4 linked regions of the Arabidopsis thaliana genome follow. The protein of the gene in region 1 purifies or fractionates together with the protein of each later gene. This does not show direct contact. Each region holds a gene or a part of one and is shown in the gene's direction. Other genes may lie near its edges. The genes, in order: psbB, GAMMA CAL2, AT5G40810 and AT5G19760.

Region 1 (6,741 bases):
GGTGTGAAAACAAAGTTTGTGACGCTGAAATGTGCCCGAATAGGTAAGATATCATTTGAAAAACCTCTTCCTTATCTCATACTACTCTTTCAATATATAATCGAATTTTTTTTTAATCTAAAAAATTTCATATTGAATTCGAAGTGCCATGCTATTATTACTTAACTAATTCATATTTCAAATGGCGAAGGCATAGTATTTTTTTCTCGAAAATAAAAAAACTCATTGGCGCCAAGCGTGAGGGAATGCTATACGTTTGGTAATTGCTCCTCCGACTAGGATAAAGGATGCTATTGAAGCGGCCAATCCCATGCATATTGTCTGTACATCGGGTCGCACAAATTGCATAGTATCATAAATAGCCATTCCAGATATTACCCATCCACCAGGAGAGTTTATAAACAAATAAAGATCTTTGGTATCCTTTTCTATACTGAGATATATCATAAGACTAATAAGTTGATTCGAGATTTCGGTATCAACCTCTTGGCCTAAAAAAAATAATCTTTCTCGATAAAGTCGGTTGATTAGGATAATTTTTTATTCCTTAGGAGCCGTACAGGCACCTTTTGGTGCATACGGTTCAATAAAAATTGTGAAAAAATCAATGTGTTGATTCCAACCTACCCTTTTTTCATAGAGGGTTTTTCTTTCTAACTTATAACGGAAGGGCTTGCCCCAAAAGTAAAAGAAATTTTGAGTTTTGGCGCCTTTTATTAGATATTAAAATCCTCTAAAAAAATGATTGATTCATTGATATTTTTTTTTTTCATCGAGATTCAGTTGAAATGGCGATGGTTTTTTCTTGTTCCTGAACGGGCTTCTTCCTTTTTTTATTCCATTTTTTAGGTTTATGCTCTACCCCGAGTAAAAGGAAAAATTTGCCCGATTTTGATTTGCACATATAGGACAAATGAACCAAATACCGCGTCTTTTTTTACTACTCCTTCTTTTTTTTCAATTCAGTTCTTTCACTTGTCTTCTGTCAAATAGTCAACAAATTTTGAATTATATTATATATTATTTGTATTTGATTTGAGCAACAGTTTTAGATCGCCCTGTTTCAATTTTTTTTATAGAGTTTTTATCATAATTTTGCATATAATAGAAGTAGTAATTATAAAAATATTATATATTAATTATCAATTGGGTTTTTGCTAAACGGAGCCTGGATACTTCATTTTATTAGTCCGATCACGTAAACCATAAAAAAATTTTGATAATCTAATATCAATCTAAATACTCCCTGCATTTAATTCCACTTTATTTTTTGCGCTTCGCGTTACAAATTTTTGATAATTCAATCAATCTTTTTGAGCGAAACAGAGGATATCTCGATCGAGGGAGAAAATGGGGAAATCCCATATAGCCCGATATATCTGACAAGTCGCACTATATGTCAACCCAAGATGTATCTCCTTCTCCAGGACTTCGAAAAGGTACTTTTGGAACGCCAATAGGCATGAAATGAAAAAAAAAGAGAATGAAGTTCTCTATTTCACTTTGATGTGGAAACGTAAAATTGGGGTTTCGTTTTTTAATACTATTATCCTTTTTTCCTACTTTATTAATCATATTTAAATTAATGATATTTAATACATAAGTTGAATAAGCTAAAATAAAATATAAAATAAAAGTAAAGTAAGAGAGAATGAATAAAACTAAAGGAAATTTTTTACGAACGGGCTTCTGAATGATCAACAACAATAGCTATCTTGGTTCATAGAAAATAGGATTAACCCCCATTGCATATTGGTACTTATCGGATATAGAATAGATCCGCTTCCCTTTTTTTCTATGAATTGAATTGTTCCATTATTACTAACAGAATAGAACAAATATTAATCCTTTCTCCGAAATAATTACCTAAAAAGGGGGGGTACGTAGCATAGTTTTTTCCAATGCAATAAAGTTACATAGTGTCTATTTTTCGTTGATAAAGGGGTATTTCCATGGGTTTGCCTTGGTATCGTGTTCATACTGTTGTATTGAATGATCCCGGTCGTTTACTTGCTGTTCATATAATGCATACTGCTCTAGTTGCTGGTTGGGCTGGTTCGATGGCTCTATATGAATTAGCAGTTTTTGATCCCTCCGACCCCGTTCTTGATCCAATGTGGAGACAAGGTATGTTCGTTATACCTTTCATGACTCGTTTAGGAATAACCAATTCTTGGGGCGGTTGGAATATTACAGGGGGGACTATAACGAATCCGGGTCTTTGGAGTTACGAAGGGGTAGCCGGAGCACATATAGTGTTTTCTGGTTTGTGCTTCTTGGCAGCTATTTGGCATTGGGTATATTGGGATCTAGAAATTTTTTGTGATGAACGTACAGGAAAACCTTCTTTGGATTTGCCCAAGATTTTTGGAATTCATTTATTTCTTTCAGGAGTGGCTTGCTTCGGTTTTGGCGCATTTCATGTAACAGGATTATATGGTCCTGGAATATGGGTATCCGACCCTTATGGACTAACCGGAAAGGTACAACCCGTAAACCCGGCGTGGGGCGTGGAGGGTTTTGACCCTTTTGTTCCGGGAGGAATAGCCTCTCATCATATTGCAGCAGGGACGTTGGGTATATTAGCGGGCCTATTCCATCTTAGTGTTCGTCCGCCTCAACGTCTATACAAAGGATTACGTATGGGCAATATTGAAACCGTCCTTTCCAGTAGTATTGCTGCTGTCTTTTTTGCAGCTTTTGTTGTTGCTGGAACTATGTGGTATGGTTCTGCAACTACTCCCATCGAATTATTTGGTCCTACTCGTTATCAATGGGATCAGGGATACTTTCAACAAGAAATATATCGAAGAGTTAGTGCTGGACTGGCTGAAAATCAAAGTTTATCAGAAGCTTGGGCGAAAATTCCTGAAAAATTAGCTTTTTATGATTATATTGGTAATAATCCAGCAAAAGGGGGGTTATTCCGAGCGGGTTCAATGGACAATGGGGATGGAATAGCTGTTGGATGGTTAGGCCACCCCGTCTTTAGAAATAAAGAAGGGCGTGAACTTTTTGTACGCCGCATGCCTACTTTTTTTGAAACTTTTCCGGTAGTTTTGGTAGACGGAGACGGAATTGTTAGAGCTGACGTCCCGTTTAGAAGGGCAGAATCAAAATATAGTGTCGAACAAGTAGGTGTAACTGTTGAGTTTTATGGTGGTGAACTCAATGGAGTGAGTTATAGTGATCCCGCAACTGTGAAAAAATATGCTAGACGGGCTCAATTGGGTGAGATTTTTGAATTAGATCGTGCGACTTTGAAATCTGATGGTGTTTTTCGTAGCAGCCCAAGAGGTTGGTTTACGTTTGGACATGCTTCGTTTGCTCTACTTTTCTTCTTTGGACACATTTGGCATGGTGCTAGAACCCTCTTCAGAGATGTTTTTGCTGGTATTGATCCAGATTTGGATGCTCAAGTGGAATTCGGGGCATTCCAAAAACTTGGAGATCCAACTACAAAACGACAAGCAGTCTGATGCAACATTGCTTTTTTTCTTCTAGTTTCTGTTTGTTATTTTATTTAATAGGTAGGGTACTGTAGGAATCTTTATTTAAATCGCTGCCGTTTCTTTGACTCTTTTTCTTTCTTTATCCTCCCAAGTAAACAAAACGTAAACAAAACAGGTATGAAAGCTATAATTGTAAACCACGATCAAATTTATGGAAGCATTGGTTTATACATTTCTCTTAGTATCCACTTTAGGGATAATTTTTTTCGCTATTTTTTTTCGGGAACCACCTAAAATTTCAACTAAAAAATGAAATAATTTTTCATTATCTTCATTAACGTAATCAGCCTCCAAATATTTGGAGGCTGATTACGTTAACTAGTCCCCGTGTTCCTCGAATGGATCTCTTAGTTGTTGAGAGGGTTGCCCAAAGGCAGTATATAGAGCATACCCAGTAAAACTTACAAGTAACCCAGATATAAAGATGGCGACTAGGGTTGCTGTTTCCATTATTATAGAATTGAAAGACCACACCGGATCTATGCTAAGATCATTTATTTACAACGGAATGGTATACAAAGTCAACAGATCGTAATGAATACAAAATAAGATTTATGGCTACACAAACTGTTGAAGATAGTTCTAGATCTGGTCCAAGAAGCACTACTGTAGGGAAGTTATTGAAACCATTGAATTCCGAATATGGTAAAGTAGCTCCCGGATGGGGAACGACCCCTTTGATGGGTGTTGCAATGGCTCTATTTGCGGTATTCCTATCTATTATTTTGGAGATTTATAATTCTTCTGTTCTACTGGATGGAATTTCAGTGAATTAGACTGAGAAGAATCTTGAAGTTCTAGCTTTTAGCTCGATACAAAAAAGTAAAGTATGCAGGTCTAACAATTTTAGCCTATTCTCCTTTGGTAGTTCGACCGCGAAATTTTTTTCTGCATTGTATATTTCCGGAATATGAGTGTGTGACTTGTTAGAATTGACCCTATGGATAGTACAGAGAATGGGGTCTGTCATCTTTATCAAGATGGTTTTACTTCGTCGGATATTCATTCGAGTATCTGGAGCACGAAATAGATCAAATAGATCACAAAGTATTCGAACTATGATTCATACTTAAATACTCAAACCTCGTAGCCGGACTTCTTTCCGTTCTATCTTATAAACTTTAATAAATCAAAAAAATTTTCTGCTTTTAAACTCTTATTTGGATCAAAGGACAAACGCTTCTTTGTATTTTATGTTTTTAGTCATTATAGCTTTTTTTTTATTGAATAAGTGATGATCCAATGGTTCTCACTCAGTGAACTTTGGACTTTGAAGGTTTCATTAAATTATCGTGGTTCTCGTATGAATCTGAGGTTTCAATTGATTAGTTAAGTAGGGTCTTAACAAGAGAATTCCTATCAATAATAAAGAAAACAAGAAGAAATCCCTGTCCCCGTTCCATACAAATACCAAATAAAAAAAGACAATAAAGATAGGTAATCTAGAAGATTCAAGAGGCCTGTAACGATCAACACAACATAAAGACGAATGAGCTTACTTGATTTTTTGGCATTTAACCACAAAGACGAGCTTTCGCATTTTGACTCTTTCATATCTTTAAATAATAAAAAATAATATTGAATGAGAGACAAGTTTAAAACTTTATATTCCATATCTGTTTCAATCAGTATTTGGGTCTTTTTTTGTTTGAGCTGTACGAGATGAAATTCTCATATACAGTTCTTGGAGGGGGAGTAACCTTGGTTTACCTATCTCAATAAAGTTTATGATTGGTTCGAAGAACGTCTTGAGATTCAGGCGATTGCAGATGATATAACTAGTAAATATGTTCCTCCGCATGTCAACATATTTTATTGTCTAGGCGGAATTACCCTTACTTGTTTTTTAGTACAAGTAGCTACGGGATTTGCTATGACTTTTTATTACCGTCCAACCGTTACTGAAGCTTTTGCTTCTGTTCAATATATAATGACTGAAGCTAACTTTGGTTGGTTAATCCGATCAGTTCATCGATGGTCGGCAAGTATGATGGTCCTAATGATGATCCTGCACGTATTTCGTGTATACCTCACCGGTGGTTTTAAAAAACCTCGCGAATTAACTTGGGTTACTGGTGTGGTTCTGGGTGTATTGACCGCATCTTTTGGTGTAACAGGTTATTCTTTACCTTGGGATCAAATTGGTTATTGGGCGGTCAAAATTGTAACAGGTGTACCTGACGCTATTCCGGTAATAGGATCACCTCTTGTAGAATTATTACGCGGAAGTGCTAGTGTTGGACAATCCACTTTGACTCGTTTTTATAGTTTACACACTTTTGTATTACCTCTTCTTACGGCCGTCTTTATGTTAATGCATTTCCTAATGATACGTAAGCAAGGTATTTCTGGTCCCTTATAAATAATATAGATTCTAGGTATTTGTACTTACTTATTACTTGGTGAAGGAACGATAGTATTTTATTGCTATAAATATGGATTATTAAAAAAATAAAACATGTATTTGGATATTTCCCTTCAACTCCACAATATTTTATTATTTTTTTGACATAAAAAGTTGAAGGGAATTCTATGAAGAGATAATGGATTATGGGAGTGTGTGACTTGAACTATTGATCGGGCCGTGCAGAAATATTACTTTATCTGCTACATTGGAATTCACAACCAAATGTGTCTTTGTTCCAACCACTGTGTAAGCCCCATACAGGGGATAGGCTGGTTCACTTGAAGAGAATCTTTTCTATGATCGTACCCGACGCTGTCGTGGATGAGTGGGCTCCGTAAAATCCAGTAGATTAAGGGATGGAACAAAATCCTGATTATGTTTTTAGTTATTTTGGACTAAAAAAAAAAAAGAAAATAATTATTAATAGTAATAGTATGTAAATGCATTCATTTTCTCTGCATCGACTCGATTTATGATACTATCGGAGTGAATACAGGATCTAATGAAGAGTAGAGGGTAGACTCCATTAGTAACAAGTAAATCCTTTGTATTTGAAAAATCTCGATATAATTGTTGAGATTAAGGACGAATTTATAAGGTATGAGACGACCCAGAAAGCACTTAATCATGATAAACTTTTTAAGCTTACGTGGGTGTTGAGCATTTACCTGTAAGAATGGAATTTCTTGAATCTTTAGTTGCAATAACTTTGGAATCGGATAATTAATTTTTACATATTAAATTATATTTTTTGTATGTATTCATTTAGTTTGGTTAATTCTTGCTCGAGCCGGATGATAAAAAATTATCATGTCCGGTTCC
Region 2 (7,651 bases), on another chromosome or scaffold:
CTTCCCCCGGTTGTCTAGTTTTATGGTTTGTTTTGGATTTTGTTTCTTCTCTGTGTCTTGTCAAAACGTTATGAATTTGTGAATCTGAATATGCATTAAGTTAATTTCAAAATTCGCTATGTTTGATTCTCGGTTTGGTTTAAATCTGGTTATGGCGTTGATTTGAATTTGATGGTAGGCACTAGGCAGTTAGCCTTAGTTTGGTTTATTGGTATTCGAGTTCAAATTGGAATTGAGTACTAAAATGCTCTGTTACTCATTTCTGCATCTTGAGTTCTTATGGATTTGCTTACGAAATGTTCAATTTTGTTTGGTCTGGTTCGGTTCGTTCTGAAACGAATGTCGAGAGTCTTTTGCTTGACTCGAAACTTGCCTTGTGTCAGCGTGTAGGGGTTTGTAAGAATAAAATGGGCTTTAAAATTAAGTTATTAATGGGCCAACACATGATCCACCAAGAAGAAGTGATCCGGTTGCATCTTAGATTCTCATGTGATGTGATTGAACGTTGAAAGTGCACAGAAGTAGACCTGTTTAAAGATGTTTCACACTTTCACTGCGTACTATGTAACTAGTGGAGTCAGTCCCGTCATGCGTATGAGTAAAGCGCGTCGATACCACGGGAACACACAAAAACATGTCACCCTAGTAAAAACTGTGTTCGTTAGCTCATTGTAAATTGCAGTATATGGCATAAACAATTGTTTCTACAAATTCCAAGAATGTAAGAATCAAGACAATAAAATGTGACTATATCAAGAACTTAACTAAAGTTTCATCCACTTAAATGAAAAAGTTGATTTGGATAGAACAAAAGACGTAATATTCGATGTGTTCTCTCTCTCTCCCATCTTTACTTTTATTGACTTTTTATTTTCACTTTAATGTGTGATGTAAAAATAAAAAGTAATTATTTGTTCAACCCTAGGTGAAATAAAGGACGACCCAAAACAAGTGACGAGAGAGCAGAGAGAGCTTCTTCTTCCGGACACTGAACAGTGAGAGCACCCATCTCCAACCTCTTCCTGTAAGTTTCCCCAACTACTCTGTTTCTTAAATGTTCTGCGTTCTTTAAAACAAAGTATAGAAGATTTAGGTTGTAAGATCGATCTCGTTTGATTTCAAACTCACTATCTGAAACTCTTTGATTACAAACCCATCTTCATAATCTCTGTAAAAATCAAACATGCAATTCACTTAATGGTGCAAAAACCCCAGAAGAGGGAAAAAGGAATCAAATTTAGTTTATAAAAGCAGTGGAATTGAGTTGCATTGTTGAAATATTCAAAAGCAAGATCAGATTTTTGATAAAGAATTTCACTTTTGATTGCAACTTATAATCAAGGAACAAGATGGGAAGCACTGTGATTTTAAGCTCAGATGATGAAGATTCAGATATTAGTGAATCTGAAATGGATGAGTATGGAGACAAAATGTACCTAAACCTTAAAGGTGGGAAGCTGAAAGTGAGACTCTCTCCTCAAGCTTTTATCTGTCCTTATTGTCCAAACAAGAAGAAAACTAGTTTTCAATACAAAGATCTTCTTCAACATGCTTCTGGAGTTGGTAATAGCAATTCTGATAAAAGAAGTGCAAAGGAGAAAGCAAGTCACCTTGCTCTTGTCAAATACCTTCAACAAGATCTTGCTGATTCAGCTTCAGAAGCAGAGCCTTCATCAAAGCGTCAGAAAAACGGAAACCCTATTCAAGATTGTGATCATGACGAGAAGCTTGTGTATCCTTGGAAAGGTACACACTTTAAAGGTTCTTACTTTTCTCCTTAAGATTGTACTGCAATGTGTGTTTAGTGTTTGTGTATATGTGGTTGAAACAGGTATTGTGGTGAATATTCCAACTACAAAGGCACAAGATGGTCGATCTGCGGGCGAGAGTGGATCGAAGCTAAGGGATGAGTATATTCTAAGAGGATTTAACCCGACTAGAGTTCGTCCTTTATGGAACTACTTGGGACATTCAGGAACAGCTATTGTGGAGTTTAACAAAGATTGGAATGGACTTCACAATGGTCTTTTGTTTGACAAGGCTTATACAGTAGATGGTCATGGGAAGAAGGACTGGTTGAAGAAAGACGGTCCCAAGTTAGGTCTTTACGGTTGGATTGCTCGTGCTGATGATTATAACGGTAATAATATTATTGGAGAAAACTTGAGGAAGACGGGTGATCTGAAAACTATAGCTGAGCTTACGGAAGAAGAGGCGAGGAAACAGGAATTGCTTGTGCAGAACCTGAGACAACTTGTAGAAGAGAAGAAAAAAGACATGAAGGAGATTGAGGAGCTTTGTTCAGTTAAGTCAGAGGAACTTAATCAGTTGATGGAAGAGAAGGAGAAGAATCAGCAAAAGCATTACCGTGAGCTGAATGCTATACAAGAAAGAACAATGAGTCACATTCAAAAGATAGTTGATGATCATGAGAAATTGAAGAGGCTGTTGGAGTCAGAGAGGAAGAAACTCGAAATCAAATGTAATGAGTTGGCAAAGCGCGAAGTGCACAATGGAACCGAGAGAATGAAATTGTCTGAAGATCTTGAACAGGTATCCATTTACTCTCTGTATCTCTCTTTTCAAGATATATGTTCAAGAAATAATTGGTTTTTTTCTCTTATCAGAATGCATCTAAGAATAGCTCTCTTGAACTAGCTGCCATGGAACAACAAAAGGCAGACGAGGAAGTTAAAAAACTTGCTGAAGACCAAAGGGTTAGTGACTTTCTTCTTCTTTGTAAAAATGGTTGGGCTTATTTTCGTGATTACTGAGAAAATTCTGTACCTAACAGAGGCAAAAGGAGGAGCTTCATGAGAAAATCATAAGACTAGAAAGACAGAGAGATCAGAAACAAGCGATTGAGCTAGAAGTTGAGCAGTTGAAAGGACAGCTCAATGTGATGAAGCACATGGCATCAGATGGCGATGCTGAAGTTGTGAAAGAGGTGGACATCATCTTCAAAGATTTAGGTGAGAAGGAAGCACAACTCGCAGATCTCGATAAATTTAACCAAACTCTTATCCTTAGAGAGCGCAGGACCAACGATGAGCTTCAAGAAGCTCATAAAGAATTGGTAAACGTATGTATCATTCAAAGTGTTGTTCTTTTCAATCACATCGAAAAGCTATGAGAAAGCTTGACATTTTACTAAAATCTTGGTTTTGTTTGTTTCATGTGCCTTCATAGATTATGAAAGAATGGAACACAAATATCGGTGTTAAGAGAATGGGAGAGCTCGTGACGAAACCATTCGTGGATGCAATGCAGCAGAAGTATTGTCAGCAAGATGTGGAGGACCGAGCAGTTGAAGTTCTCCAACTTTGGGAACACTATCTCAAAGATTCAGATTGGCATCCATTCAAGCGGGTCAAGCTCGAAAATGAAGATAGAGAAGTGGTAAGACCGCCTTCTTGACTCTGTTTGTTATGTTGAATCTCTCTGAAAGATTAAAAAGCTTTTTTGGTGTTGTTGTTAATTGTGTTTAGGAAGTGATAGATGATAGAGACGAAAAGCTGAGGGAGCTAAAGGCAGATTTGGGAGATGGTCCTTACAATGCGGTCACGAAAGCTTTGTTGGAGATAAACGAGTATAACCCGAGTGGAAGGTATATTACAACAGAGCTATGGAACTTCAAAGCAGATAAGAAGGCTACACTTGAAGAAGGTGTCACTTGTTTACTTGATCAATGGGAAAAGGCGAAACGCAAGCGTGGAATGGCTTAGAGGTTTAACCATTTTTGATAACCGAACAAAAATATGTTTTCATTTGCAATTGTTATTTGCTAATATAGGATTTCGATTGATGGTTTGCAGCTGCAAGATGATGGACATGGGACTGAATAAAAAGCCGATGCGGTTTTTAGTTGCAGAGAAATGTGTTTGGTTTGACCAAACTTTGGTGGATTCTGTTTGTTTTTCTTCTCAGAACTTAGTGAATAATTGACACAACTTTGATGTCTTGCATCGGTTCTTTTCATTGTAACATTTGTAGGAGTTTGGCCGCTTTGGACAATAAGAAATAAAAATATCATTGTAATATAATTCACATGTAAAACAACTAGATTTGGCCTCTCTTCTGTCTCATATCTTAAGCATGTCATTTAGAACCTTTTATTGTAAAAACAAACTTTGTCATGAGTTACTTTTTGTAGTCAAATTTGATATTGACCCCTTCCTTATTATGCTAACACTGTTTTCATCTTATAACCCTATAAATCTAAGTTTCGTGAATATAGCCAAAATCATCTACATCATTGCAAAGAACCTTAAAGGAGAAAGAAGAAAACCGGCTTGAGAGAGATGGAAAACAACTCAGGAGCTATTCTCTTTGTGATCTTAGCTATGACCATTGTTCTTCAAGTGAGGCCAGGGTTCTCTCAAGCACTCCCTACGATCCCCGGACTTTTCCCACCGGGTCTTCCTATTGATATCATAAAATGTTGGTCATCTCTCTTTAACGTCCAAGGATGTGTACAAGAAATCTACAAATCGATATTTTCTGGTCAGTTTGCTAGCATTGAAGCCCCATGTTGTAAAACGTTTTCAGCTATAGATACAAACTGTTGGCCACATATGTTTCCATTGAACCCATTCTTCCCTCCTATTCTCAAGAACAACTGCGAGCGTATTGCTACGACTCCATCATCAACACACAAGTGAAGGCTACACACAAATGTTGCGAGCCAGTTGTTAGCTTCGAGGTTTAAGAAGTTCTTTTATCGATTTGAGAGATCACAATGCCCAATAATCCAAAATTCTCCTTGCAGTAATTTTTTTTTTTTTGTAATCTTTAGCTTAAAATAAACAAAGCTAAGCTTTTTGATGTACTCGTATGTGTTTGCCATGTAGTTTGTTAAAAGAGTGGTTATAACATAAACAAAATTTTGTTTGCGTTTATATATGAAAATATTGTTCTTACACTATGGAATAAAACATATTTCAGCATTTAAAATTTGTAAAAACGACGAACACGAACGCATATCAATACCATACCAAAAAGATTATATCGTACATGAAACTTGTTGCAGACAATGGCATGACTAATGGGCCTCTATTAACTTAGCCCATAAGGCCCAATAAAACTTTCCAAATAGTTTCATTTTTCAGATTTTGAAGAATCTCCCGACGACTCCTCTCTGTCTCCTCCTCCGGGAAGCTTTCTGTCTCTCTCTCTCTCTCTCTACACAAGACCTTGAAGAATCCGATTCCATAACAATGGCGACTTCGTTAGCACGAATCTCTAAAAGAAGCATAACATCGGCTGTTTCATCGAATCTGATTCGGCGTTACTTCGCCGCGGAAGCAGTAGCGGTGGCGACGACGGAAACACCTAAACCGAAATCGCAGGTGACGCCGTCGCCGGATCGGGTAAAATGGGACTACAGAGGCCAGAGACAGATAATTCCTCTGGGACAGTGGCTACCGAAGGTAGCTGTAGATGCTTACGTGGCACCTAACGTTGTGTTGGCTGGTCAGGTCACCGTCTGGGACGGCTCGTCTGTATGGAACGGTGCCGTTTTGAGAGGAGATCTTAATAAGATCACCGTTGGATTCTGCTCAAATGTCCAGGAACGGTGTGTTGTTCATGCTGCGTGGTCGTCGCCTACAGGTTCTTGTTCTTTGTCATTTTTTCGGAATTTGAGTCTCTGTATGGTTCCATTGTAGCTTCTAGTTTGAGTTCTGGATATCCAATTGCTGTAGTTACTGCTTGCTAGCTAATGGAATCATTGATATTGGAATTTAGGGTTTTCATTTTCATCTTCCATTTTGATTATGGAAAATGTAGAGTCTCACCTTTAAGGAGATTTTACACTTTTATCTGAAGTAGTGAAGTGTAAGTAAGCATATTTGTTTGGAGTGAAGATGTCCCCAGATCAAGAATCATGAATGATATTTGTTCAGTAAAGTTAATCTTCAGAGCATTTTGCGTTTAGCTAGACAAGGATGCATAGAATTGCGTAGTTCTTTAGGTGATTAGTGATATTGGAAGCAAGAAACCCATTGATGATATGTGCTTGATTTTAAAATTTAGGTAATTCAGGGGTTGAATAGATTAGCATGGTGGAGACCATCTTGTTTAGTTGTAGAAAGTTGCCTAGCAGCTCTGGAGAAGTTTCAGGAACTATGTCATAGTAAAGATTTTTAGTTATGCGGAGAGAATTTTGCAGAAAGTTGATATTATATTCAGTGGTTGGAACCGAGATTCTGAAGCTGCGTCAAGCTGAATGAACATAAGCGTCTTTTAGTCTTACCAAGGTGGATTCCGTGTCAAAGTCTTTAGTTCAACAGCCTCCTGGTTTGATTAAGCTGTAGTTTACAACTAGTACTTAATTACTTGATTCACCATTTTTTCGGGTTAATAGCTCTGTATTATCAACCAGTCTTCATGCTTTTTCTATACTAACATCTTGAAGGATAGAGCATACTGTGGTGCTGCTTTTGAATTTTGATATGATAGATAAAAATCTGATCTTAGAAGATACTTTCTACTTTGATTTTTTTCAGGATTACCAGCACAAACATTGATCGATAGGTACGTGACAGTTGGTGCATACAGTCTTTTAAGATCATGCACTATCGAACCAGAATGCATCATCGGGCAACACTCAATCCTAATGGAAGGTTCACTGGTCGAAACCCGCTCAATCCTAGAAGCTGGTTCTGTTTTACCACCTGGCAGAAGAATCCCATCTGGTGAACTATGGGGAGGCAATCCAGCAAGGTTTATTCGAACACTCACCAATGAAGAAACCTTAGAGATCCCGAAACTTGCTGTTGCCATTAACCACCTAAGTGGAGATTACTTCTCAGAGTTCTTGCCTTACTCAACTATCTATCTAGAGGTTGAGAAGTTCAAGAAATCCCTTGGAATCGCCATCTAGAAAGCTTCTTCCAGGTTTCTGGCTACTTCCCTCATTAAGAAAGCTTCTTCGTTTTCGGAATTTGATCTGAATAAGTAGCTGCGGAACAAGAAAAAGAGCAGAGCTGTGTTTCAAATGTTGTCTTCTCTGTTTGTTTTGTTTAAGTTCATATCCTTGTGTTCAAACTTTCTATGAAGATGATAATGGTGAAAACTGGAAAGTGTAAAACTTCTTTCGTCTCCCCTCACAATTGGAAAAGCTAATAATCTCGTAGTGTTATAGAATTAAACATCTCGTACTAAAATATTTTCATCTTCAATTTTTATTGTGTTGCTTTGGGCGAAAAGCCAATCACTGAAACATTACAGAAACTGAGAGACGCAACTAAAATATGTAGTACCAAATTATTCCAATATCTCTAGAGAGCACAAAGCTAGTTCCCTCCCTTAATAAACCCTGAGAATTTATGCATGACTTCAATAGCATTATCACATTCAGGTTTCAACAAATGAAAAACATGATCTTCTCCTTCACTCTCCACCACTTCAACCTCTCCTTTCCAACCAGACTTCTCAAGCTTAGCCGCGTAACCCCAACCCTGCCTCACCAACGCATCTTTCTCAGCCACCATTACCAAAACCTTACCACAACCCAACCCAGACAAATCCACCGACTCTGATTGCACCACGTTGAGCAACGGATCATCTGTTCCATCTTTGCTATTAGGACTTGCCATCATCCAAAACGCCTCTATCTTCATCCTCAACGTTTCATCTTTCGTATCCTTCT
Region 3 (8,548 bases), on another chromosome or scaffold:
AACAAAATTGTACAAGATGGTATATTGGTATTCAGTCCACTTTTATAGCTTTATTATTCAGTTGTGGCTCTAATCAAATTTTTTTTAGTTCTTTTTCAATTTATGCAATATAGAAACTGTACGGAAAGGAGATGGTTCGGTTTTGCATGATATTTTCCAGCTATAAATGGCATGGTAGACTACTTAGCAGCAAGTATTTGTATAAAATATGACTGAAATCTTCTGAAATATCTCGGGCTCGAATCCTTTAAACGAGCATTGAGATTCGAGATATATCAACTAAGCTCTCCATATAAAGGAAATAAACAAATATGTATGGTCGAAGCCGATTAAAAAGCAGGCACACACAAACATTAAATTATACTATAGGCAATGTGACTTTATAACATATATCTCTCTCCACATAGGTCTATATGATAATTTAATTGGATGGTTATCCAAAGCACCCAAATAATTCTGGGAACTGCGATGTGTGATCTGATTGGCTTATTGCTCTTTATTAATATGAGATTTATAAGTATATGATAAAATTAGGTGTATGGGTCCCATGATCAGGCTAAAACAGCATCTGGTGTTTTTTACCACATTTCAAGACTCTTGTATGGTCCTTCTTTGTCCTCCCAACCAACCAAATTGCATGAAGTGTCCTCCATTTCAAAATTGAAAAAACTGGCATGTCAGGGCACATTTGGAAATATATACATGTGTATATATTGTGTCTCTATTTATGGAAGTGTAAAGCAATGACCCATAAGGTCTTCTCATTGTCCTATGGTCGGATCTATGTACTTATGTAGCTCCGGTTCTAGGGATGTGCTCTCATTCTATAGCTAAAGTCATCTTGGTGTGGTTTTGGGTGTGTTAATCATTTAGGTTCGGTTAGAACATTTCACGGAATAAACCTATCATTTGCATTTGATATCTATGAAAAACATTTCACGGAATAAACCTATCATACGTATCTTTCATTACCTTTACATAATACATCACACAAAAGCATAAGTATTCTTTCACCTTGTCATTTTTTTTTGGGATAAATTCTATCGGTAAAAACATACTGAAATACGCTAGAGTGGATTCTTTTCACTTGTCATAAAACCCAATAAAAATCATATTTATTATTTTATTATTATTTAAGTTCGTTTCTTAACATAATACATTACCACTATCTAATACCTCATATAAAATTAGATTTAAAATCCTATAAACACACACTAAATTCTGAAAGAAATAATGTTAGGTTGTTTAATTTCTTTTTTTTGTTTGTCAAATCAGATATATTGATATAAAACAAGGTTACAAAATATATAAACATTATAATACAATTATTATACGCAAATACAAAAATTTGATACAATTTTGATAAAGGAGTGAAAGTAACCCGACATTACAAGCAAATAGGCGTTGGTCATGATACATAAATATTTTTTAATTATAAGAAAATTACTATTATTTTAAAATCACAAATTTTAAACTGTATATTTTCTTAATTAGGCACTGATGAACAATTCGTGATACAATGTGGAAACATGTCTCAAATCGAAACCCTTATTTGATATGTTATTAAGATACCTGCTGGGGAGGTGCCTCATCCCAAAATAAACTAAATTAATTAACATTCATTTAGGTAGAAAAATTACTATAATGACATACTTAATCATATAATTATACTTTTCCTTCATACCACCAATAAAAGCAGATCGCTATCTAGCTCTTAGACAAGATAATAGCATAGCTTTTAATTTTGATAAAGCTGAATGGTCCTTGTAGATAAAGTTAAGAGAAGAATATGTTTTTTTTTTTACAAAGGCTTGTTTTCATTCATTCACATAAAAACAAGTACAAGAAGGAGTGATTCAAAGATCACAAAGTTTAAAACATAATTAAAGGAGGTATTCCCCAAAGCCAAAACATAATAGAGGCATTTCTCTAAGACACGAAAGGAAATGCATAGCATTCAAACCGACTCATATTAAATCATCTCTCATAAATGAAAAACTACTTCCACTTGAGACACTAAAGGACTCACCAATCAACATATTAAGAAAGTTACTGTTTCGTGGCTTGAAAATATGTAGAAAAGCTTCCAGGACGATGTCTCATTCATTAATTTTCTGATGATTCCAAATTCGTTTTCCGAACCACAACTTATGATTGCAAAAACCTAATGATTCGGCTTGAGTTGAGTCATGATGAGAATTTCTCCTGCTTAATTAAAATTCTGTTTTTAGGTATAAGAGATTCTATTCAGCAAAGATATTCAAGATGAGTAACAGATATTAAACATACCATGAACATTCACAAACCTGTGGGAATTAATATATGAACTTACCTAGCAAAAGCGAACATGTAATTTCTCATTTACATTTTCCCGTACTATGTAAAATTGAAACACATTTTCAAGTTTAAGGAAGATTATAATTTTGGAGTCGATGTAGTATCCCGAGAGCATACGAAACATATGTTGTATTTTCAAATTTGCGCCTCTCGATATTGAACTACAATAATGCATGTTAGATTCAAAGCAGCCTCGCTTTGGACCCTATAAAATGAGTTAATGCAAGCCATAATAATTTATCGATCGACATATTTACTAAACAAGCCAGAATGTGATCTCGATCTCAGCCTGTGTTAATCTTTTTGTAATTGAACATTCTGGACTAATGAACTCTTCACTATTGAAAAAAACAACAACACATAGATCATTTACACAAAGTCTCCCTTTACTAAATTTCAAGATTTGGTCCATTTATTCCAATGAGAAATATTCCAGATATTTTTTTTGGCTGTTGACTGTACGGATAGGCCCTTAATGGGCTTTTAATGGATTAAATTAGGCCCATGATACTTGAAAAATCTGAAAGGTGTTGTTGTGTTGTGTGTGACAGTCCAGTCGCGTCATCCGGAGACATCCATTTTCTCTGGTAGCTGTTTACTTCTTCTTCTTCTTCTTCTTCTTCTTCCTCCTCCTCTGTTCGTCAATCGCCGATCTCGTTGCTTCATTTTCCTGTGAGTATTTTCTCGATTCGACACATCTCATATCCGAATCTGCCATTTCTTCATTCAATTTTGTTTATTTGTTGGAACTTCGGATCTATATAGAGAATCGAGTTTTCTAGGGCTTACTCATTGTTTCGGGTATATGTAATGGCTGAGAATCTTCTCTGTTTGTATCAGTGAGATCGATTGGTACAAGTGTTCATCCAATGGTTGGAGGAGGAGTTATCCGGCAGCTTCTTAGAAGGAAACTTCATTCCCAATCAGTCGTGAGCTTTTTCCCTGTTACATCTTTTTGATTTTCTGCTGTAGCTTAGGATCTGTTTGAAGATAGAATCATATGATTTGTTTTGGTTCTGTCTACACCTTCATTGCTCTGAGAGATTGTCCTTGAAGAATTGTAACTGGAATTGTTGTGGCGTTGGAGATTTTGGGATATAAGAAACTTAGACTTATTGATTTGTGCTTCGAGAGTATGATTAATATTCGATTTCTTTTCAGAAAAAGTAGTCTTTTGATTTGTTGAGCATACACCTTCTTGTGTCTTGGCCTTTTTTTTTGTTTTCTTACTGTTGTTCTGTATTATCTACCACCATAGGCAACTCCGGTATTGTCATGGTTGTCTTCGAAGAAAGCGAATGAAGATGCTGGGTCTGCTGGTTTAAGAGCATTTGCTCTCATGGGTGCTGGTATTACCGGATTATTGAGTTTTTCTACTGTTGCATCTGCTGATGAGGCTGAACATGGTCTGGAGTGTCCTAACTACCCTTGGCCACATGAGGGCATTCTCAGCTCATATGACCATGCTTCGTGAGTGTTCAAGCTACAATTCAATCATCATAGTGAAATTGCAACACTAAAGTTGAAAATTAGAGAAATTTGAGACTGCTTTACTGACGGTTGATTTGTAATGAGCAGGATCCGTCGTGGTCACCAAGTTTATCAGCAAGTTTGTGCGTCTTGCCATTCGATGTCTCTGATCTCATACCGAGACTTGGTGGGTGTTGCCTACACAGAGGAAGAGGCGAAGGCCATGGCAGCTGAAATCGAGGTTGTTGATGGACCAAATGATGAGGGTGAGATGTTCACCCGACCTGGTAAACTCAGTGATCGGCTTCCTGAACCATACTCAAATGAATCGGCTGCTAGGTTCGCCAATGGAGGAGCGTATCCACCGGATCTAAGTCTTGTAACTAAGGTTTGGTGCTCTTTCTCTCCATTTGTATACAATTAGAAAATTCATCTACTATGATCTAAGCAATTTGGCTATTTTCTTCCAGGCACGTCACAATGGCCAAAATTATGTCTTTGCTCTGTTGACTGGTTATCGTGATCCTCCTGCTGGAATTTCGGTAAATTTCTCTCCTATTTTTGCTTTAGACTTGTTATTACAACTTCAAATTGTTGGAAGTTAGAAATAATCCTGTGACTAACGGGTACAGATCAGAGAGGGGCTACACTACAATCCTTATTTCCCTGGTGGAGCAATCGCTATGCCAAAAATGCTCAACGATGAAGCTGTGGAATATGAAGATGGAACTCCTGCAACAGAAGCACAGGTTAGTTTTCCTCTGCTTAAGAAAATAATTTGCAGACCATAAAGTTTTATCAGATTTGACCTTTCCTCTGAGTCAATTATATAATCTTTAATTTTTCTTTTTTTAAAAAACATGATGCAGATGGGTAAAGATGTTGTATCCTTCTTGTCCTGGGCAGCTGAACCAGAGATGGAAGAGAGGAAATTGGTAAGTTTCTTAGTTTCATATATTCCATGTTTTAAGCTGTCGTTTCCATATGTACGAGATTGCAATAGGAATATCAATCTGGATTCTGATTATTTGATTTTCAGATTCAGTTTGAGAAAATTGTTACCAAACTTAAACCGGCATAGTATAGATTGGTTTTGGATGTAGAAAAAGTATCGCCATTTTATCCGTGTTAAGATTTCCTTGGTTCTGTCTTCTGTATAGCGGGATGAACACACCTAGTTGCATAGTTGTGTTGAACACACCTAGTTGCATAGTTGTGTTGACCACACTACTGCTTGTTTCTTGAGGCTGCTAATCTCAGACCAAAACTATTATCAAACATGAACCGTATTGTTACTCTGTATTCAAAACCGTCATGTTGGTTCTAAACCGACCCAAAAAAACCCGCTATACCGAGAATCCAACTCTTTGTGCTTAGATATCTGTTAACGTTGGTTGTATGTGTGTGCAGATGGGGTTCAAATGGATATTCTTACTGTCTTTGGCTCTGCTTCAAGCTGCGTATTACAGGAGACTGAAATGGTCAGTACTCAAATCCCGTAAGCTTGTTCTCGACGTTGTTAACTAATCCCGTGAAGATCACCTTTTCTCTGGGTAATAATCATTAATCTTGAAAGGGATAAATGGTGAATCCCACTTTTTGTCTCAAAAGACATGTTTCTTTGTTTATTGTTTAGAAAGTCTAATGAGGCAAAGAAGTAAAGCTTTTTTAACCTCAAGTCACACATGATTTTGAGATTATATTATTTCTTTTTGGTTTGTTGTCTCCTAAACCGGACTCGGTTTGTCTTAATAAAAATGTGGTTTTACAATCTCTCTCCTATTTGTATATCACAAAACATGATTTTGTAACTATTAAAGTTAAAAAGTTAAAATCTGTGGTCTATTTCTGATAGACCAAAACTCCACAGAACAACCAATTTACCTCTGTTGCGAACTCGATTTTGTAAAACTTAGAAAAATGTAGGCAGGATTTAGACCCGTTAATGTAAAACCAGTTCCGTTAAGACATTACCAAACAAAATTGCACAATCCTACAGACAATGAAACAAACATGCAGGATCGGACAAAACCTCAAAATACAAGTCCACACTTTTAATTGTCCCTTGGAATCAATATTTATAAAAATGTAATGAGCTCAAATTTTTATAACCTATGAAAAGATCAAAATCTTGATTAAAAAGAAGAAAAAAACCAATCAAATCCTGGCAGGCTTCTGCAGAACAGCCGAGAGAAAAACCTCAGCATCAGTTTTCTCTCCAACAACCCATTTCAACTTCTTATACCCAAACCTCTCTATCAAACGCGTAAGAACTCTCTTCTTCTCATCATTACCGCAATAGAAATTGTCTAACTAGAACAATCCACCGGGTTTCAAGATCCGATCAAGATCAAACATCAAGAACTCTAGCTTCTCGGGTTTACTACTAACCGCTAAATCCAATCCGTTAGAAGCATGAATGAGATCAAAAACATTGTCATAGAACGGGAATCTCTAATCCAAACTCCCTCTGAACAACGGAAAAATCCCTCTTGTAGCTATGAATTCGCTGAAAGGAGCATCTATATTTAATGTAATACCGATAATATTCAGATTCTTTTCAGCCATTCTAGCAGCAAACGTGCCTGATCCGCTGCTAATATCGAATCCGATTCGGATTTTCCCATCGCCTAAACCCAAACATCATCTATCAGGAAATCAGTCTTCACTTTAACCTTAACAAACCTATCTTTCTCATGACCAGAGCTAGATCAAAGCAACCAACAAAATCCCGGCTCAGTTAAGACCTTTCAAGCATTCAAAACTTTTGCAGCCAAGACCGCTCCAGTTAACACTATTGTTACTGACCGTTCTCCACAAAGAATCATGAAACAGTGCGAGACCTGGCTTATGTACTGTTTTAGCTTCAACTTCTACAGGAAGTTTGTGCACAAGGAGCCTATGATACAAGTAACATCTGCATGTCAAAAAGATTTGTAGCCACCCATGTTTTCATAGGATAGTGTTATCTGCATGTCAACTTACTGTATTAACATAAATGGCATTATGAAAACTGGTGTAGTGTGAACTTAACAACAGCTGGTGTTCAGAGATTTTCATCAGAACCAGGGCATCCACCAGATGTACATCTTCCCAAGATTCTCAAGTGAGACTGCATCGGCAATCAACCGGCGAGCCTGACCTTCTACCGGTAGCGGAACACCAACAACCACGCCCTGCAGCCGGGCTTCAATGCTGCTTATGGCCCGCTGTAATTGCCAAATCATGTGGTTGTCTCAAGCAATTAGAAAAAAAAGAAAGGGTAAATGAACTGACATGAAAGAGAATCATTAAATGATTATGCAAACCTGAGCATGTGGGTTCTGAACTTCTACTCCGCTTGATTTGTGTGACTTTGTCCACTCCACAAGAGGATCATGGATGAATGTCTCCAGGATGCTCATCAACGTCTCCCTATGTGTCCTCAACACTGTGAGAGTGATTTCACATACCCTCATGAAGATGCCCTCATATCCAGTGATGCCCAAACCATCAATCATGTTCTGTGGTTTGGAAAATAACAATTCACTATTATGACAAACGAAAACAAAATACCAACAGAACACAAACAAACGATTTTGCAGTTTCTTGCCTGGGTCAATCTGAATGGCACCAACTCAGGCTTCTCCAGTTGTAAGCCTTTGTCAAATAAGCAACTGAAGTCTACATGAACACAATCACCCGAAGTAGAATCAAAGAGAATATTTTCTCCATGACGGTCACCAAGCCCAACAATGTGCCCAACCATGGACCAAACTGCTGTGGTGTGAGCATAAGCTACACGTGACCTAAACCAAGCAGCTGGTTCAGAAAACGTTGTCAAGAACCATTTATGGAAAACCGGAGGGAACATAGGGAGGATTTTGGTCTTCAGCATCTCATACTCCTTTTTAACAGCACATTGATCATATATTCTTTTAATTTGAGGATTTGTTTTCTGCCGATCAAACTTCCCACAGGAAATGTATATATCTTGTAGAATATGGCGGAGTCCACGTGTATGTGGAACCCACTCGACCAGACCACAGTCCTCAGTCAGAGGAGCTACTGCGAAGGTGCGGATATATAGCTTCCTTCGTCTGCTTTCGGGATACTTGGATAGTAAGCGGTTTATCATCGCAGTAAATTCCATCATCCGAGCATCTTTCCTGAGATCATCCTTGGGCTTGCAGAGGAATGGATACTCAATACCATCATTTCCCAGCAGAATGATCTGAATATAAAAAATATAATCTATTGGACATGCATATTGCAGGACTGGTTCTTGAAGATAAACTGATCTTATGCCATGGTATAATGCATATTGGGAGACATATAAAAGGAGATATAAGCAGAGAGCAGAGCAGAAAATCATATGAAATTAGGTTGACAGCTTTCAATCCATGAAAAATGGAAAAGCATACCTTCTTTGGGCGCTGAAGGGAAGAAAGTATCTCGGCTTCATCGGCTATACCAGAAATAGTTGGTAGATCTGAACCAGAAAAGACACTGGCAGAGTGTCGTTCATTGTTATTCATATGGAATGCTGGTAGGCTAATGGTAAGAGATTGTTGAATTGGCATGATGATATCCAGCGGCATCATTCTTTTCAAGGCACTGAATTCAGTTGCTATATTGATAACCTTGGATCTTGGTTGTCCTCCATGGAAGCATAGTTTAATGAAATGATCAGTCAAACTAGCAAACTGAATGAACAAATTGTGGCCTCTGTCACTTTGGTTAAAACCTTTTCGTGCACCTT
Region 4 (8,268 bases), on another chromosome or scaffold:
TAGAGAATTAATCTAGCTGACTATCTCAATTCATCCAATACAATCTTAGAATGATCAATTTATATGAGTTTATCTTTCGTATCATTACAATCATTTTGGTTATCAAACCATCATTTTGGTCGTACCTTTATCCACTCATTGAAAAATATAAAAATATTTGGCTCCGATTAGTAATACGCGTAATTGCAAAATGACATTTTTTTAATACGAGTATATAAGAATGTTACCAATTAAGAAAATTAACATAATATTTATTAAAACGCAAAAATACAGAATTTTTGTTTTCTTCATAGAAAATAAAAATAAAAATTCATTATGTAAATACATATTATATGTATATTTAATTTTAGACACATATATTTGTTTGTTTTATTATGCAATTTTTCATTCTACAAATTTATAGTTTTGCAAATTTTTATTCTCCTACTTATGTCATTAAAAGGATTATACGGGGTTATCTCAGAACTTGTGATTTCAAATCTTGAAAACACGTTTTACGTAGTCAATATTTATGTAAGTTAATTAATAAATAAATGCACTAAGAGAATCAAAATCTTATAACAAAGACAACCTTACATGACGTTTCTTTTCTGTTTGGCGCTTACAAAAACATCCTACTATAACCAATAGTTATTTAAACCACTAAACCCTAATTTAACCTATAATATCGATTTAGGTCGGTTAAGCTATTATTTACCTCACTCATACTAACGAAATACCTAAATTCCGGTAAGTTATTTAAACCGGATAAAAATCGACACCTTCCAGATCTAGATCCAGATCGAATCTCACGTATTTTGTCTATGCCCAGTCCCAAAGGCAGGCTGTCACAACTTGGCGGACCCCAACCAATTATCAAATCTCATTCAATAAATAATCAATTTCCCACAAAAATCATGGAAATTAGGAAAAAAAGAAGATCTCGCTCACCGCTCTCATTTCCTCAATTCTCCGTCCGTCGAAGAAGCGAATCGCTCGAAATTAGGGTTTCTACTGAGAGAAGATGCGAGAAATCATAAGCATTCACATCGGACAAGCTGGGATCCAGGTCGGAAATTCGTGTTGGGAGCTTTACTGTCTCGAACATGGAATCCAGCCGGACGGAATGATGCCGAGGTATAAACCCTAATTCACTCTTTGTACTCTGTTTCTGTGGATCGGAAGATTTTTGAGATACGAGTCTTTTGCGTTGTTGCAGTGATACTACAGTTGGTGTTGCACACGATGCGTTCAATACTTTCTTTAGCGAGACTGGTGCTGGGAAGCATGTCCCTAGGGCTGTCTTCGTTGATCTCGAGCCTACCGTTATCGACGAAGTTCGTACTGGTACTTACCGTCAACTTTTCCATCCAGAGCAGCTCATTTCTGGGAAAGAAGATGCTGCTAACAACTTCGCTAGAGGACATTACACTGGTGAGAATCCACTTTCTGCTTGTTCTAACTTGTTAGGGTTTTTGAAATGGTCCTTAGAATGCTTCTTGTAATTGCAGTTGGGAAGGAAATTGTGGATCTATGTCTTGACCGTGTGAGGAAACTTGCCGACAACTGTACTGGCTTACAAGGGTTTTTGGTGTTCAATGCTGTTGGTGGTGGAACTGGTTCTGGATTGGGTTCTCTGTTGCTAGAGCGTTTGTCTGTAGATTATGGAAAGAAGTCTAAGCTTGGTTTTACCATATACCCTTCTCCTCAGGTACTCTTTCTTTTGCTAGACACTGAAGTAGAAACTCTTACATGACATGTTTCTATAGTGGTCTAATTTGGATGAAACTTGGTTTTAATGCATATTCCTCTGTGATGTCAGGTTTCTACTGCTGTTGTAGAACCTTACAACAGTGTTCTCTCAACGCATTCCCTTCTTGAACATACGGATGTAGCTGTCCTCTTGGATAACGAAGCCATCTATGACATTTGCCGCAGATCCCTAGATATCGAGAGGCCAACCTACACAAACTTGAACAGGTTGATATCACAGATCATTTCATCCTTGACAACATCTTTGAGGTTTGATGGTGCCATCAACGTGGATATCACTGAGTTCCAGACCAATCTTGTCCCATATCCCCGTATCCATTTCATGCTGTCATCTTATGCACCAGTCATCTCAGCCGCCAAGGCTTACCACGAGCAGCTATCAGTCCCTGAGATCACCAATGCCGTTTTTGAGCCAGCTAGCATGATGGCAAAGTGTGACCCGAGACACGGAAAGTACATGGCCTGTTGTTTGATGTACCGAGGAGATGTTGTTCCCAAAGATGTTAATGCTGCTGTTGGCACCATCAAGACAAAGAGGACTGTTCAGTTTGTTGACTGGTATGATCTAGAAATGGATAAAGCTGCTACTGTTTCTACCTTCATGTTGTTATTATATAATAACTCCTTTGGCATGGGTTTTGTTTTGCAGGTGCCCAACTGGGTTCAAATGTGGAATCAACTACCAACCTCCAACAGTTGTTCCAGGTGGTGACCTCGCTAAGGTTCAGAGAGCTGTATGTATGATCAGTAACAACACAGCAGTTGCAGAGGTGTTCTCACGGATCGACCACAAGTTTGATCTCATGTATGCGAAGAGGGCATTTGTCCACTGGTACGTTGGTGAAGGAATGGAGGAAGGTGAATTCTCTGAGGCACGTGAAGACTTGGCCGCACTGGAGAAAGATTACGAAGAAGTTGGTGCTGAAGGTGGAGACGATGAAGAAGATGAAGGTGAAGACTATTGACACCTTTTCTCAAAAAAACTGCAACCAAAAAAAGTTTTTTCGTTTATCTGTTTTCACTTTTGATTCTGTTGATTGTTTAAATCCTGTAAAATATTCGTTCGGTCTTCGTGTTTTATCTCGGTTGGATACATTTTCATTGGTAGAGCGACCATTGCGAGTTCCCGAGTTCATTATCAAGCTTTTGTTGTACCAAACTTTGATAATCTTCTTACAACTGTCCATTTTTCCTTGAAGTATAATCTCGTCTATCGGTGCGCTAACGTTTATCAACGTTCTGTATATGCTTTGTTGTCGTATCAGCTAATAATACATTTATGAGATTCAACTAATGTTAACAAACCACGTTGATCTTCACAAAAGGGCATCAGAATTATCAAATTGCATCAGAAATACTGCTCCACTGGTCCACTATCTAAAATACGGCGTGAAAAATGCCAAAAATTATTGAACAAATACAAAATACAAATACAGAAGATCAATTTTTTTAAAAAATTAGAATTTATTGGACCCAAAAAATTCAGAATACTAACGATTTTCAACTTCATACTAGAAAATTAGAAATGGACGAATGTCAAATCTAAAATTCATATGAATGCGTAATAAATAACTCTAAATATTTGGATTGCGTAAAATCCGAATGGTGAAAAGTAAAGTCCAAATTAATAAATTTAGAAAATATGTCTGGCTTAGATCAGATCTCATATGCAAATGGAAAAAAATAAAAATTAAAAAGGCAAGGGTTTGGTGCAATTTAGTTTCAGTTGGGTGGTGTTAATATAAAAGGCCCATAAGCTTCACACTTCATCGTCTCCTCTCCACCAAGTGAATCTCTTTCTCTCTCTCTTTTTCTCCGCGGAAGGAATCTCTTCTTCTGGTTGCGTTTGAGTCCGTACGAAAACAAAAGAAAAGAGAGAGATGGCGGAAGAGAAGAAAGCTCCAATCAGTGTCTGGACTACCGTGAAGCCCTTCGTCAATGGCGGTGCCTCTGGTATGCTCGCTACTTGCGTTATCCAGCCGATCGACATGATTAAGGTCTGTCAAATGTTTACGGATACACGTTTCTGTATCACCCATCTCTATGTCTAAGCTCGTTAGTATTAACAATTCTTGCTTGATTTGCTGGTATTGATACCTACGAAATCCGTAAATGTTGTTCATCAGATCCGAGTCTGTAGATTTTATCTCTCAGATCTGAGTTTTTGTTTTGGCTTATTATAATCAAATTTCATTGCTCGGAACATAGTCAGACTCGTTTGAGTGTGAATTGTTGCTATTGATACATGTTTAGATGAAATGTTCTAGTTCAGATCTGGATTTTGATTAGAATAACGTTCTTAGGTTCATCACAATGTGTGATTCTTCGCCTGTGTTCATAGGATTTTTAAATGATGTGAATGTAATTAACTAATACTTTGTTTTGTTTCTGGTTGGTGAAGGTGAGGATTCAACTTGGTCAGGGATCTGCAGCCAGTATAACCACCAACATGCTTAAGAATGAGGGCGTTGGTGCCTTCTACAAGGTATAAATTGCATTTCTGGATGCATTACTTATCTTGAAGATGTACGTTTTGTGTAGTATGTTTTCTATTGATATGTTCATGACTTTTGTTGATTTGTAATGTATATGATTTCTGCATTTCCGGATCTGAGTCTCAGCTATTCAAAGAATTAATTTCCTTATCTAACAGTCTTTCCAACAACAACATTAGTTATACCCCATTGAAGATGTCTCCTGAGCTTATTTGATGTTAATTTTTTTTAATAGGGATTATCTGCTGGGTTGCTGAGGCAAGCAACTTACACGACAGCCCGTCTTGGATCATTCAAGTAAGTTAGTCATTCGTCTTTCGTCTTGAGCCCATCCAGATGAATAGATTTTTATTGCCTTATGGTTATGGATAAATCATCCTCTCTTCTGTCAATCTTATTAGGTTGCTGACTGCAAAGGCAATTGAGTCTAATGATGGAAAGCCTCTACCGCTGTATCAGAAGGCACTATGTGGTCTGACAGCTGGTGCTATTGGTGCTTGCGTCGGTAGTCCAGCCGATCTAGCACTTATCAGAATGCAGGCCGATAATACTTTGCCGCTAGCTCAGCGCAGGAATTATACCAATGCTTTCCATGCGCTTACCCGTATTAGCGCTGATGAGGGAGTTTTAGCACTTTGGAAAGGGTGTGGGCCCACTGTGGTCAGAGCTATGGCTTTGAACATGGGAATGCTTGCATCTTATGATCAAAGTGCTGAATACATGAGAGATAATCTTGGTTTCGGGGAGATGTCTACGGTCGTAGGTAAGCTGCTCTTCCAAGTTTCTCATACAGTAAGAATATATTTTTTCTGTGAGCAGGTAGATAGCAGTTAGAGTCAAGGATCCTAAGAATCAATCGTCTTGGAAATTTACATTTGTAGCATATAATCTCCTGATTACACGAGTGTTAGATTGTCATAAATTAAATGTGTATTTCACTTAATACAATCTATCCAAGAACTACACCAAGGAAAATACTTTATTAATGAGAGGACTCTCTAAACTCTCAACCGTTGCCCAAACCCAGATCTAAGACCAATCCAGAATGGATCCCATTGCGTTGTCCTTACTCCCTTTTAAGAGCTACTAATTGTAAGGTCGCTCAGTTGGCAAAACTACACTTTTCTCAACTTCCTAGGCTTGTTACACTAGTTCTGCACTAGACTTAACAAGAAACCTTTATCAGTATTTTCATATGGTCATGTAATCTCTGTATGATAAATTGTAGTTAAAATAGATCTCTGAGTTTGGTTTTTGTTTACTTTAACAGGAGCAAGTGCTGTTTCTGGGTTCTGCGCTGCGGCTTGCAGTCTGCCATTTGACTTTGTCAAAACTCAGATTCAGAAAATGCAACCGGATGCTCAAGGAAAGTATCCATACACAGGTTCGCTCGATTGTGCGATGAAAACCTTAAAAGAAGGAGGACCTCTGAAATTTTACTCGGGTTTCCCAGTTTACTGTGTCAGGATTGCCCCTCACGTCATGGTATAATAGCTCTTATCTCCCTTTTTTGTTTATGTTATTGTAATTACCACTTCGTGATTGCCTCTAAGATAGTTGTTGATCGGGTTTTCTTTTGGCAGATGACATGGATCTTCCTAAACCAGATTACGAAATTTCAAAAGAAGATTGGTATGTGAGGAACAAATACAGCAGCAAAAAAATAAGATGAGAAGAACGAAAACACAATTGGAATTGTGTTCATTTGCTTTTTAATCATATACATAACCTGCCTTAAAAGCATATTATTGTAGCTGTTTGAACTTTAATTTTTTGTTTCGGTCGGTGATTGGTCCGGTGAATTTTAAATTTTCTTCTTTGGTGGAAGTTTAAGACACATAGCCAGAGATTTCAAAATTTTCATACGAACTAAAAAAATTCTCTGAATGAGGAAACAATAAATATATGAAACATTGATGATGGGGAAATATTTGAAGTGCTTGAAGAAAAGCTTGTTTCAACTCTAAGAAAATGTCAAGTGCAGGGTTCCCAAATAATTGTTTCGAAACACCAAACATTTGCATCAGCAGACAAGACCGTTTCCCCAAAACTCTGCCGATAACAATCCAGCAACCACCTCTAGGCTCCAGGTAAGAAACATGTCTACTTTGCAACAACTTCTTTGTGAGCTTTGAATGATAAAATCACATTCCAAGCCAAAGCCACTACGTTTGAAGCAAGTACCTGCAATAATTCATATATAAGACATCGATTCATCCTCAAAGCCAAAGAAAATCTTGCTAAGCATACTAGCTAGAAGCTAATGTCATTCAAGCGTAATTCATCTCAAGCTCATCATGTCAAAGATGTTTTTAACAAGGGCTCAAAAACATGAAAATGCGTAATAAATTCTCAAAGATTATACTAAGCAGAGGATTAACAGCGTGTGGGTCGTTATTCGTTATGTATGAAGCATATCTATCTTAACCCAATTGTATTTTTTTTCAGACTCCCGTTTCATGTAGTCACAGAGTTTAGTATCAAACCTGGTAGTTCTGTGGAACAAATCTGAAGTTAAGAAACTGAAATGGTATCCATAGCTGCCAATTTGCTATCATTGCACCAGTCCACTCCTATACAACCAGCAATTCATGGATTCAATTAGAACACCGCAAAAGATACAAAGTATCAAATTTAGATTCCTGCACCGGAAATATTAAGTTTAGTTAGGTTTTAATCCAACCTGTTGTAGCTTCGGTATGACATTTGATGGTTTTCCTTCAAGTGTCACAACTGCTGATAAGAAAACTCCAACAAAAATAGGAGCAAAAACAAACTGCAAATACAAATTTTGGTGTTAAGTGCTAACACAGAGGAAGCAAGATGGGAACATAATTGTTAGACTGGGAACAGGAAACTTTGCTACCTGATCCAGTAGAAGTCGTATAACTGCGCCTGATAATCCAGAAGCTGTCACCACTTTGCTCAAATACAAATACCTAATGGATGGAGTTGAGAGATTTCAGAGAACAGAGAATAAGCATAAGTAATATACCAATGGATGCATAAGTCTCTTCAACTGAAGAACCACTAGCAGAGACGTAATATAGTTAGCTTTTGCGGTGTCATACGAGTGAAAGGTCCACGGAAATACCAGAAATGCAATGTTGGACCGACTAGCCCTAAGCCCAAGAAGGTAAAGGTGAGTGTCCTCTTCTTGTCCAGCGATGAGGTCTTGTTGATAGTAAGCTGCAACCAAAAGTGATACGAATAAGCAATGTCGCTCACATATCTAGCAGAATACGATCAAGCATTATAAAGAAAATGGGGCTTTACTACATTATCCTGTATTTTGGGTCTATTAGCTTCCATTCTAACTTTAAAAAAGAGATAGCACAATTCAAGTTAAAGTCTGTCTGTTCAGAAATACATAATGCAGCAGCTCATGAATACTGTTTTATCTCGATATATCCTGAATAGTGAAGAATCCAAACTTCAAAGATAGCACAAAAATGAGAGAGTTACCTGACAGATCAAATCTCCAACGAGGTTCAAAAGTGCTGCGGTCACAGCTTTGGTCAAAACAGGAGAGTTTGAGAGAAGAGCCTGGTACCTGAAGCACCATAGAAAAAGGCACACAAAGTGTGTTTATGCTCAAGTCAAAAGCAAAGAATCATACTAGAAAAAAAGTGTTCCGTGAGTAAATTATTAACACATCCAAGAAAAATTTCCAACATCTGCTTCAATGAATTGCTTTTCAAAGAAACATCTTTACACAAGAACAGGAGTAGTGACAGGAGCAAGTAAGAAAAATTACCATGAGAGAAGTGACCACTTCTTTCCTTTTCCGTCGCTTCCATCACCACCACCGCCGCCGGAACCACCACCACCACCGCCTGAACCACCTAACCCGCCAGAGCCACCTGAATTCCCACCTGGGACCGCAGAGACCCGGACTAGATGCCCAAACGCAGTCCCAGAACGCCCCGGCCAATTGCTCCGACCACACTTCAGTGAACCAACATTTTTGTACCCAAACGAAAGAGCCTTGCTCGAACTACCTTCCGTTATAGTTCTTCGA

Evidence for each region.
Region 2: the proteins of psbB (region 1) and GAMMA CAL2 fractionate together in Arabidopsis thaliana (co-fractionation; one large-scale study listed by BioGRID). This does not show direct contact.
Region 3: the proteins of psbB (region 1) and AT5G40810 fractionate together in Arabidopsis thaliana (co-fractionation; one large-scale study listed by BioGRID). This does not show direct contact.
Region 4: the proteins of psbB (region 1) and AT5G19760 fractionate together in Arabidopsis thaliana (co-fractionation; one large-scale study listed by BioGRID). This does not show direct contact.

The regions. Positions count from the first base shown.
Region 1 is NC_000932.1:70,419-77,159, forward strand, and holds psbB (photosystem II 47 kDa protein), read left to right. Parts: upstream 1-1,952; coding exon 1,953-3,479; downstream 3,480-6,741. Other genes in the region: clpP (ATP-dependent Clp protease proteolytic subunit), read right to left, coding at 235-526, 1,394-1,464; psbT (photosystem II protein T), read left to right, coding at 3,664-3,765; psbN (photosystem II protein N), read right to left, coding at 3,831-3,962; psbH (photosystem II protein H), read left to right, coding at 4,067-4,288; petB (cytochrome b6), read left to right, coding at 4,423-4,428, 5,233-5,874; petD (cytochrome b6/f complex subunit IV), read left to right, coding at 6,063-6,070. UniProt on the Arabidopsis thaliana protein: One of the components of the core complex of photosystem II (PSII). It binds chlorophyll and helps catalyze the primary light-induced photochemical processes of PSII.
Region 2 is NC_003074.8:18,029,891-18,037,541, forward strand, and holds GAMMA CAL2 (gamma carbonic anhydrase-like 2), read left to right. Parts: upstream 1-5,044; 5' UTR 5,045-5,216; coding exon 5,217-5,610; intron 5,611-6,506; coding exon 6,507-6,883; 3' UTR 6,884-7,151; downstream 7,152-7,651. Other genes in the region: AT3G48660 (transmembrane protein, putative (DUF 3339)), read left to right, coding at 179-243; IDN2 (XH/XS domain-containing protein), read left to right, coding at 1,350-1,746, 1,832-2,553, 2,628-2,717, 2,795-3,082, 3,190-3,399, 3,489-3,725; AT3G48675 (egg cell-secreted-like protein (DUF1278)), read left to right, coding at 4,302-4,661; CXE12 (alpha/beta-Hydrolases superfamily protein), read right to left, coding at 7,296-7,651.
Region 3 is NC_003076.8:16,336,994-16,345,541, forward strand, and holds AT5G40810 (Cytochrome C1 family), read left to right. Parts: upstream 1-2,869; 5' UTR 2,870-3,009; intron 3,010-3,177; 5' UTR 3,178-3,206; coding exon 3,207-3,266; exon of another isoform or gene 3,267-3,595; coding exon 3,596-3,807; intron 3,808-3,915; coding exon 3,916-4,195; intron 4,196-4,277; coding exon 4,278-4,349; intron 4,350-4,439; coding exon 4,440-4,556; intron 4,557-4,676; coding exon 4,677-4,742; intron 4,743-5,217; coding exon 5,218-5,334; 3' UTR 5,335-5,934; downstream 5,935-8,548. Other genes in the region: ATR (Ataxia telangiectasia-mutated and RAD3-like protein), read right to left, coding at 6,867-7,016, 7,116-7,310, 7,400-8,020, 8,211-8,548. UniProt on the Arabidopsis thaliana protein: Component of the ubiquinol-cytochrome c oxidoreductase, a multisubunit transmembrane complex that is part of the mitochondrial electron transport chain which drives oxidative phosphorylation.
Region 4 is NC_003076.8:6,677,210-6,685,477, reverse strand, and holds AT5G19760 (Mitochondrial substrate carrier family protein), read left to right. Parts: upstream 1-3,423; 5' UTR 3,424-3,632; coding exon 3,633-3,749; intron 3,750-4,153; coding exon 4,154-4,237; intron 4,238-4,482; coding exon 4,483-4,544; intron 4,545-4,648; coding exon 4,649-5,010; intron 5,011-5,517; coding exon 5,518-5,732; intron 5,733-5,830; coding exon 5,831-5,887; 3' UTR 5,888-6,172; downstream 6,173-8,268. Other genes in the region: TUA3 (tubulin alpha-3), read left to right, coding at 1,004-1,116, 1,199-1,413, 1,491-1,690, 1,802-2,310, 2,402-2,717; AT5G19750 (Peroxisomal membrane 22 kDa (Mpv17/PMP22) family protein), read right to left, coding at 6,351-6,431, 6,734-6,820, 6,931-7,023, 7,114-7,186, 7,342-7,436, 7,713-7,800, 8,005-8,268. UniProt on the Arabidopsis thaliana protein: Catalyzes the transport of dicarboxylates, such as oxoglutarate, oxaloacetate, malate, and succinate, and of tricarboxylates, such as citrate, isocitrate, cis-aconitate, and trans-aconitate by a counter-exchange mechanism across the inner mitochondrial membrane.